2 linked regions of the Arabidopsis thaliana genome follow. The protein of the gene in region 1 interacts with the protein of each later gene in a pairwise test. Each region holds a gene or a part of one and is shown on either strand. Other genes may lie near its edges.

What was found.
Region 2: the proteins of AT2G33350 (region 1) and AT1G27280 interact in a two-hybrid assay, tested with the Arabidopsis thaliana proteins (one large-scale study listed by BioGRID).

Annotation. Positions count from the first base shown.
Region 1 is NC_003071.7:14,133,252-14,137,685, forward strand, and holds AT2G33350 (CCT motif family protein), read left to right. Parts: upstream 1-1,890; 5' UTR 1,891-1,951; coding exon 1,952-2,026; intron 2,027-2,113; coding exon 2,114-2,860; intron 2,861-2,996; coding exon of another isoform or gene 2,997-2,999; coding exon 3,000-3,197; coding exon of another isoform or gene 3,198-3,239; exon of another isoform or gene 3,240-3,273; coding exon 3,274-3,402; intron 3,403-3,477; coding exon 3,478-3,585; 3' UTR 3,586-3,910; downstream 3,911-4,434.
Region 2 is NC_003070.9:9,472,358-9,475,542, reverse strand, and holds AT1G27280 (Paired amphipathic helix (PAH2) superfamily protein), read right to left. Parts: upstream 1,517-3,185; coding exon 1,440-1,516; intron 1,348-1,439; coding exon 1,087-1,347; intron 979-1,086; coding exon 789-978; intron 703-788; coding exon 553-702; downstream 1-552. Other genes in the region: AT1G27270 (Paired amphipathic helix (PAH2) superfamily protein), read right to left, coding at 2,394-2,462, 2,545-2,646, 2,733-2,850, 2,947-3,185.

The DNA.
Region 1 (4,434 bases):
ATAATATGCTTATTGTCCAAAGACATTTTGTCCAGTAGCATTTTACTTTAGATATCTTCTATTTTCTAATACTTTACTGACCTGGTCGAAATCTTTTTCTCTCCTTTGCGGGAAATCATGAGCCAAGTCAATAAAATTAGCAAACGAGATAAAAGATAGAAAAATGCATATCTAAATTAAAAACATAGAAACTAATTCCACGAATATAGGGCTTAATTTAGGACGATTTTCAGTCAAAAACGTCAAAATCCACGGAACAAGAATTGGGTCAAACTCATTGACCGGTCTAAATAGTTTCCTCCTACGTGAGATCCTTTACCCACGTCAACACCATTATATCTACGTGGGCTTTCCACGTCATGTGAAGAGGAGAATCGAGGGTATCACATTTTTGCATCAAGTCCACGCTGGAATATATTATAAAAATTATGTGAAAATAATTTGTACATACACTGAAACACACATGCATTAGTTTAGTATATACAAATATATACATACACATAAAACCAAAAGTATATATATATATGTATGATTGTTACGTGAAACTCCCATAACCTCTTTTTTTCCAGAAAACTATAAGAATTTGAATTTCTTCTCTGTCCAAACAGAAGAACCTTTGTTCTGTTTTTAATTCAATTACCTCTTTGTTTTTTCAGTTTTTGTTGTTTTTTCCTCCCAATATTTGAATTTCTTCCATGGATTTTCTTGTTCATCATACATCACTCATTCCAATATTATTCCACAAATCATCCTTGAAGCCTCGTTCATTAATTTTCTTGCTATAATTCATATTTTCTCGGGAATTTTCTTTATTTTCCCAGAAAGTTTTCGCATTAACATTGGAGATATACAAAGAACACAAACATGTTGCAAGACATGATCTCGTCTCACTCTCACGATCAGCTTTCCATCGTAATTCTCTTCTCATTATTGCTTTCATTTTTATTCATGCAATGCGTAGATGTTTTTGTCTTTGAAATTTTGCTTACATGTATAGATCATATAAACTCGAGTCTAATCTTATAAACTGATTAATTTTTATTCCGTAGTCTTTTATTCGGCAACTACCCTATAATTTCAGCTAGTTTTTCTTTTTTGGTGTAACGTCATTTTCTTCTACTTATATTCCATTTGATCTTCTTATAAATTGCTTCATTCTTTTCGCTTTTCTTTCTTTGTTATTCTCTCCGCACTTCAATTTGTCCTTCCATGCGATTTTTTTTTGAACAATCATTATCATAATTCTCATTGGCATACGATTATTACTTATAAACCAATAGAAAATCGTCACATGATATGGAACAATATTGTTCTACAAAATAACTGTAACCATAATTCACTATATCTATCGTATTTTAGTATAGATTTTTATTCTCATCAAACGAAAAATGCTAGATTTAATCTCTCACCTTGGATTTTATGCAAAATCTACATATTACGTGAATTTCACTAGGAGCATTGTTTGTTATCATGATGGGTTTGTATATGATCATGATCATAATGGGTTTCACACATGTTCTGATATTTTATGAAGTGCCCTTTACTTTTTCTTTGTGGGAAAAAAATCTGGATGTTGGTTCATACCAGGCAATTTTAAATTATTTTGTCAATACGAAAAGGAAATACCAGAATCAGAAAACTTTCCGTTTATAGAAACTCCACTCTTCTTTACTTTATCTTTTTAGCTATTGGAAGTAATTGGAACACTTCTTCTTAACATGTCACATAAAAGAACAGATGCATTTAATCTCTCTTGTGTTGTCCTCAACAAATATTGATAACAAACAAACATTGGATTTGATCAAGACACCAAAATCTTTGGAGTGTTTGGATGTCGAAAAACAGAATCAAAACATCTTACAGATTCTTAACATAGTTAAGCCAGAACAAAATTACTTAAGTATAAATAAATTTCTCTTAAGATTTAAGAACTAATATCTTGTAGCTTCTTATGATTTCACCAGTTCTAATTTCTTGTGACTCAAGCCAAAACCTTTGTTACCTTTTTTTGATGCTTGGCTTTAACGTAATCTCTTCAAAAGATCTTGGTTCATTTACTTTCCATGCTCGATCTAATCTTTGAAACTAACTATTGTTTTTATTATCTTAACAGGATGATATCACGAGCCCTCTTAGTGCTCAGATCTTCGATTTCTGCGATCCACAACTCTTTCAAGAAACCTTTAATCAATCCTCTGAAGTCACCTCTACTTCAAACATTCTTGAGAAATCCGGAAGCTTCCATTCCAACACTAACACCACCACAACAACTGAGAACAGTAACAACAACAACAACAACAAGAACACAAACCTTCAAGACGATGAAGATGACAACAACAACACGGATCTGTCCATAATCTTTGATTCACAAGAAGATTTCGAAAACGATATAACGGCTTCAATCGATTTCTCATCATCTTCACTGCAATATCCAGTCATCGATCATCTCCTCACGGCAATAAGCCAAGACCAGTTTGATTTCTCATCAGGTCTCCAAGTTATTCATCAGCCTCCTAACATTTCATACTCTGGAGATCCTCTGTCTCTATCGGCGATTTCCTCTCTAGCTCCTCCTCCCTTACAATCAGGGGTTTTCGAAGAAGATTGTCTTTCTTCAGTCCCAAGTTACAATCTTGGTTTGAACCCTTCTTGCTCTTTCTTCCGTTCGTCCGGTTTACCGGCGTATATGAGTACCGGTTTATTATCTGCTGAAAGTAATCTCGGTTATCTTCCCGGGAATATTCATGTGGGATCAGAAATCAATAAGCCACATGATCCACTGATGGACTTTCAAGCTGATAATGGTGGTTTTTTTTGTCCGGATTCCATCAAACGTATGTTTAATCCAGAAGATCTCCAGGTAATTGAGTTTTTGTTACAAATATTTTCCGGTTAACGTTTGGTTATCTTTAAGAACCGGTATGGAGCTAAGATTTCCGGTCACAAGACCGGGTTGGTATTCTGATGTGATGCTAACCGGTTTAATTTTGTTGAAGAAGGCACTTGGTGGTGGCGCCGAGAACCAGAGCCACTTGGTGACACCTCAAGCTCATCCAGCATTAGGACCGGTCGATATAAACGGTTTAGAAGACTCAACGTTGAACAAAGTTGGAAAACTCTCCCCTGAGCAAAGGAAAGAGAAGATTCGTAGGTACATGAAGAAGAGGAACGAAAGGAATTTCAACAAGAAAATCAAGGTTCGGTTTTTATTAAACCAAACCGGACTTAACCGTTGTTAAATGTTGTCCCAATGATTTTTTTGGGGGGTTGTAGTATGCGTGTAGGAAAACATTGGCAGATAGTCGACCAAGAGTTAGAGGAAGATTTGCAAAGAATGATGAATTTGGTGAGCCAAATAGACAAGCTTTTTCAAGCCATCATGATGATGAAGATGAAGACGATGTAAGAAAACCGGGTTATTTTAACTCGATTTATATGAATTTATGTGAAAACTAACTAAGCCGATTGGGTTTACAGATGGGAGTGAAGGATGAGGAACAATTGGTAGATTCTTCAGACATTTTTGCACACATTAGTGGAGCAAATTCCTTCAAGTGCAACTACCCAATCCAATCTTGGATTTGAGTTCCAAGTGCAACACCACATATACCTCATGTTTTAACATGAATCTTATAATAGTTACACAAATAGTATTGCTATAGAGTTATGACTTGTATACTTAGTTTTGTCATGCCCCCAACAAGTTCTGTGACTTCTGTCAAAAAAATAAATAATCTAACTCGTATTGAAAATAAATAATGAATAATGGGTTTAGGCAGGTTTGGATGAATAAATCAGTAGTGAGAATAAGGTTGTAATTATGTTACCTAGCAATTTGGAAATTTTGTAGATACTATGATATGTGATGTCTTGTATTTGATAAGTTGAGTTGAATTTTTTATCACCTGAACACTCTATATATATAATCGTCATATGAGTTATTATTTTGCTTCTCAAATCATTCAGATGTTCTATGCATACAAAATGAATAGACCGGTCAAATTGTCATGTCTAACACCTGGTTAGAAGATCTAATTAGTAATTAGATAATAACTATTTGATCCAAAAAAAAGGATAGTAGTAACTATTTTTAAGAAAAAGATGAAATAATTGGGCTTTAATTTGTTAGTATCAAAATGTTGGACTGGGCCAACAGAGTGTTACAGATCAATTATATAATTAAGGCCTCCCTTGTAGGCTACCATTTAAGATTAATGTAAAGCTTAAACGATTGACAACTTGATGCATGCGCAATAAATGATGATCGTACCATAATTTCATGGCCATATATAGTTGCTAAACTGAAAGAAGAACAAAAAGGTTTGTAGTAACTTTGTAATGAAATAATTCGATATTTTATTATGTTGAATAGTTCTTTTTGTTCGTTTCTGAAAAGTGAAAACCCATTTGCTAATTTTTTTTAACTTCTAAGTT
Region 2 (3,185 bases), on another chromosome or scaffold:
TTGGTAATTGGTACTACTATATTTTTGTTTGGTTTGCTTTGTACTTTTTGGTCATTTATAGGTTTGTGCTAAGGCTCTGTTTCTCTATGTTTTTGTTTCTACGTTGAACTAAGATGACCCCAAAATCTCATGTCTTCTTGGTAACGAGGAAAATATCATACATGTACATGTCAGAAGAAACTATACACTCTCTTTTAGTCGCTTATATCCAATCAATCTACACCTCAAATATAAAAGCATATTTGCATATCATGACATCATGTTCTCTATGGAGTAAGAATCAAACTAATCTCATATGAAAACTATACACTCACTTCTCATTAGAAAGAACTACTCTTTTTGTCTCTTATACCCCAAACATGCATTATATTCAAAGCATCCTATACTAAAGCAGAGACAGTCTTCTAATGTACTTAGCTATCTCTAGCAGATTTTGACCCTGATGGATCAGTGGGTCTCTTGAAAACGTCTGCAAACCCCATGACTAAATCTTCATGACCCTCAAGAAGTGCAACGACCCGCAAAGACAACAAAGCAAATCAAACCAAAGAACTAAGAGAAAGTGTAATCCAACCAAAGTGTCCCAACCAAGAACCCTACCTCCTGGTACAAGTCATTCACGGACTTGTTTCCTTCTTGGTACATTGTCAATATCTCGAGAAACGACTCATATACATGACGATCATCCCCCTGGAACCTTTCCTGTACATCGACGGATCTGTTAGCATAGATGGAACATCAAAATGGTAAATGGTAAGGATTAGTTTTAGTATTTTAGCACTCTATACCTTAAGCTTGCCGATAAAACTCGCTACACGTTTTCTTTTGTTAATATCAGATGCAGCCCGTTGCTCAATCTTGAGATGGAGGATTCTCTGAGCCTCAGGTGGAAGGAAGGCATTCAAACGGACAAGCAGATTCTTGTGAGCTTTCAAGAGTTCCTCCACCCTTGTAATGCCACCAGCAACATCAATTAATCTACAAAGAGAATAGTATATAACAAACAGAATCACTTCACAATGTTGTATAGATTGAGACTTGAAATTAAGGGCAAACAGAATTGAAGAGGGACACAACAATACATACCTATACCTGATATCATAAAAGAGCTGGAAAAACTCGTAATACTTTGCAGGTTCATCATGAAATGCTTCCTTGACAGTGTTGATGTATGAAACCGCATCATCAATAGTAGAATCCGGTGATACGCTTGTTGCAGCAATGGTTTGAAGTTGGGCTAACCCTTCGCTAGCCTCAGCTGGAAAGAAGTCAAAGAAACGAACAAGCAGGTTCAAGTGATCTCTCATGAGTTCCCCCATACATGCAGTGATTCTAGCTCTATCGTCTCTACACAAGAGAATAAGAAACATGAGAATCAATTTCACATCTGTATTTGTTTAAGAACAAACCAGACATAACCGGGGGAAATCAAGACATACCTATGATTAAAATAATCACGTATGAGGTGGAGAATATGATTAAATTTTTCAGGTTCATCATGATATACTTCCTCCATAGAACCGAGTTATGAGTATTCATCATCCTTAGTTAACTCTAATGGTACGCTTCTTCCATCCATGGTGTGACCTAAAACCATTGTTATAATCCAAACAGGTCAGATCACATCATTTGAATCCATCTACTATCTCAAAGCTATTTCTTTAAAGTTTTTCAAGAAACAGAGCCAAGTGCAATAAATATCGATCTACTTCCTCAAGAACCCTAGATTGAGGAACGATTTGAAAGCAGAGAACCAGAAAACTCGATCGTAACCCTAATCGTCTGGTGAATTGACATATCAACTGAACGAAACAAATGATAAATCGAAAGAGGAACCAAGTATGGCTACCGATATAAGCAGAGCAAAGCAGCAATGATGAACAAGAAGAAGCTTCGTCTTCGTCTTCGCAGAGTAAGGAGTTCAAGATTTCTAGAAGCAAAGTAAAAACCTCAAGACTGCATAGAGTTTTTGTTCACGAGTCTATATTTATACTAGGGAGTATATCAATTTCGTAATTCATATAAGGTTTACTTAAATTAGAAAATATATTTGTTATTAGAATTACTTGATTCTTATTTGGTTTGCTCTGTAGTTTTTGGCTCTGTTCCTCTCTGTTTTTGTTTCTACGTTGAACTCTGTTTTTGAGTGTTTCTCCTCTCAGTTTCTATTAAAAGATGACCCCAAAGATAACCAGAAAATATTAAGTGAAAAAAACATTTGATATCAAAGAAAGCTCTACAAATACACTTTCTTTTAGTCTCTTACACAGCAATTCATTGAACATAGAAGCATAGCATATTTGTGAATGTCATGTTAATCAAACCTAAACTCAAATGTTTTCGTCTCTTAAGGTATATAGTCTTCCAGTACTGTCCTTAGCTATCTCTAGACTCTATGGATCACTGAAAATTTCTGAAAGCTCCATGAGTAAATCTTCATGACCCTGAATAAGTGCACGGACCTGCAAAAGGTAACAAGCAAATCAAACCAAAGAACTAAGAAAGTGCAACACACAACACAAAGTGTCCCACAAAGAACCATACCTCCTGAGACGCCTCATCTTTGGACTTGTTTCCCTCACTGTGCATTCTCAATATCTGGAGAACTGAGTCAACTACTTGACTACCATCGCCCAGAAACCTTGCCTGCACATCCACAATTTTGTTACTTAAATCACAAGTTAACATATAAGAAACATCCAGTAACTATAAGCATTTAAGCACTCTATTACCTTAAGCTTCGTGATAAACCTCCTTGTAGGTGAAAGGAAGACACAGAAACCAAGAAGCAGATTCAAGTGATCTTTCAAGAGTTCCTCCATCCTTGCAATGACACTAGCGGCATTGATTCTACAAAGAGACTTAGTAATATCAGAATCAATTCACATGTGTGTTTGTTGTGTAAATTGAGAAAATCAAACATAACATGGAGAAAACAATTCATACCTACGAGCTTTAAGATCAGTCAAGAGCTTAGTAATTTCCATATATTTTGCAGGTTCATCATGAAATGCTTCCTTCACAGCATTGAGGTAAGAAGTCGCATCATCCATGGTAGGCACCGCCACCGCCGGTGGTACGCTTCTTCCAACCACCTTATTGATGTGAAACTCTGCGCTAGCCTCGGGAGGGATGGCTGTCTGCAACCTAAAAGGAAGTAAGACATTTGAACCATGACACAGATT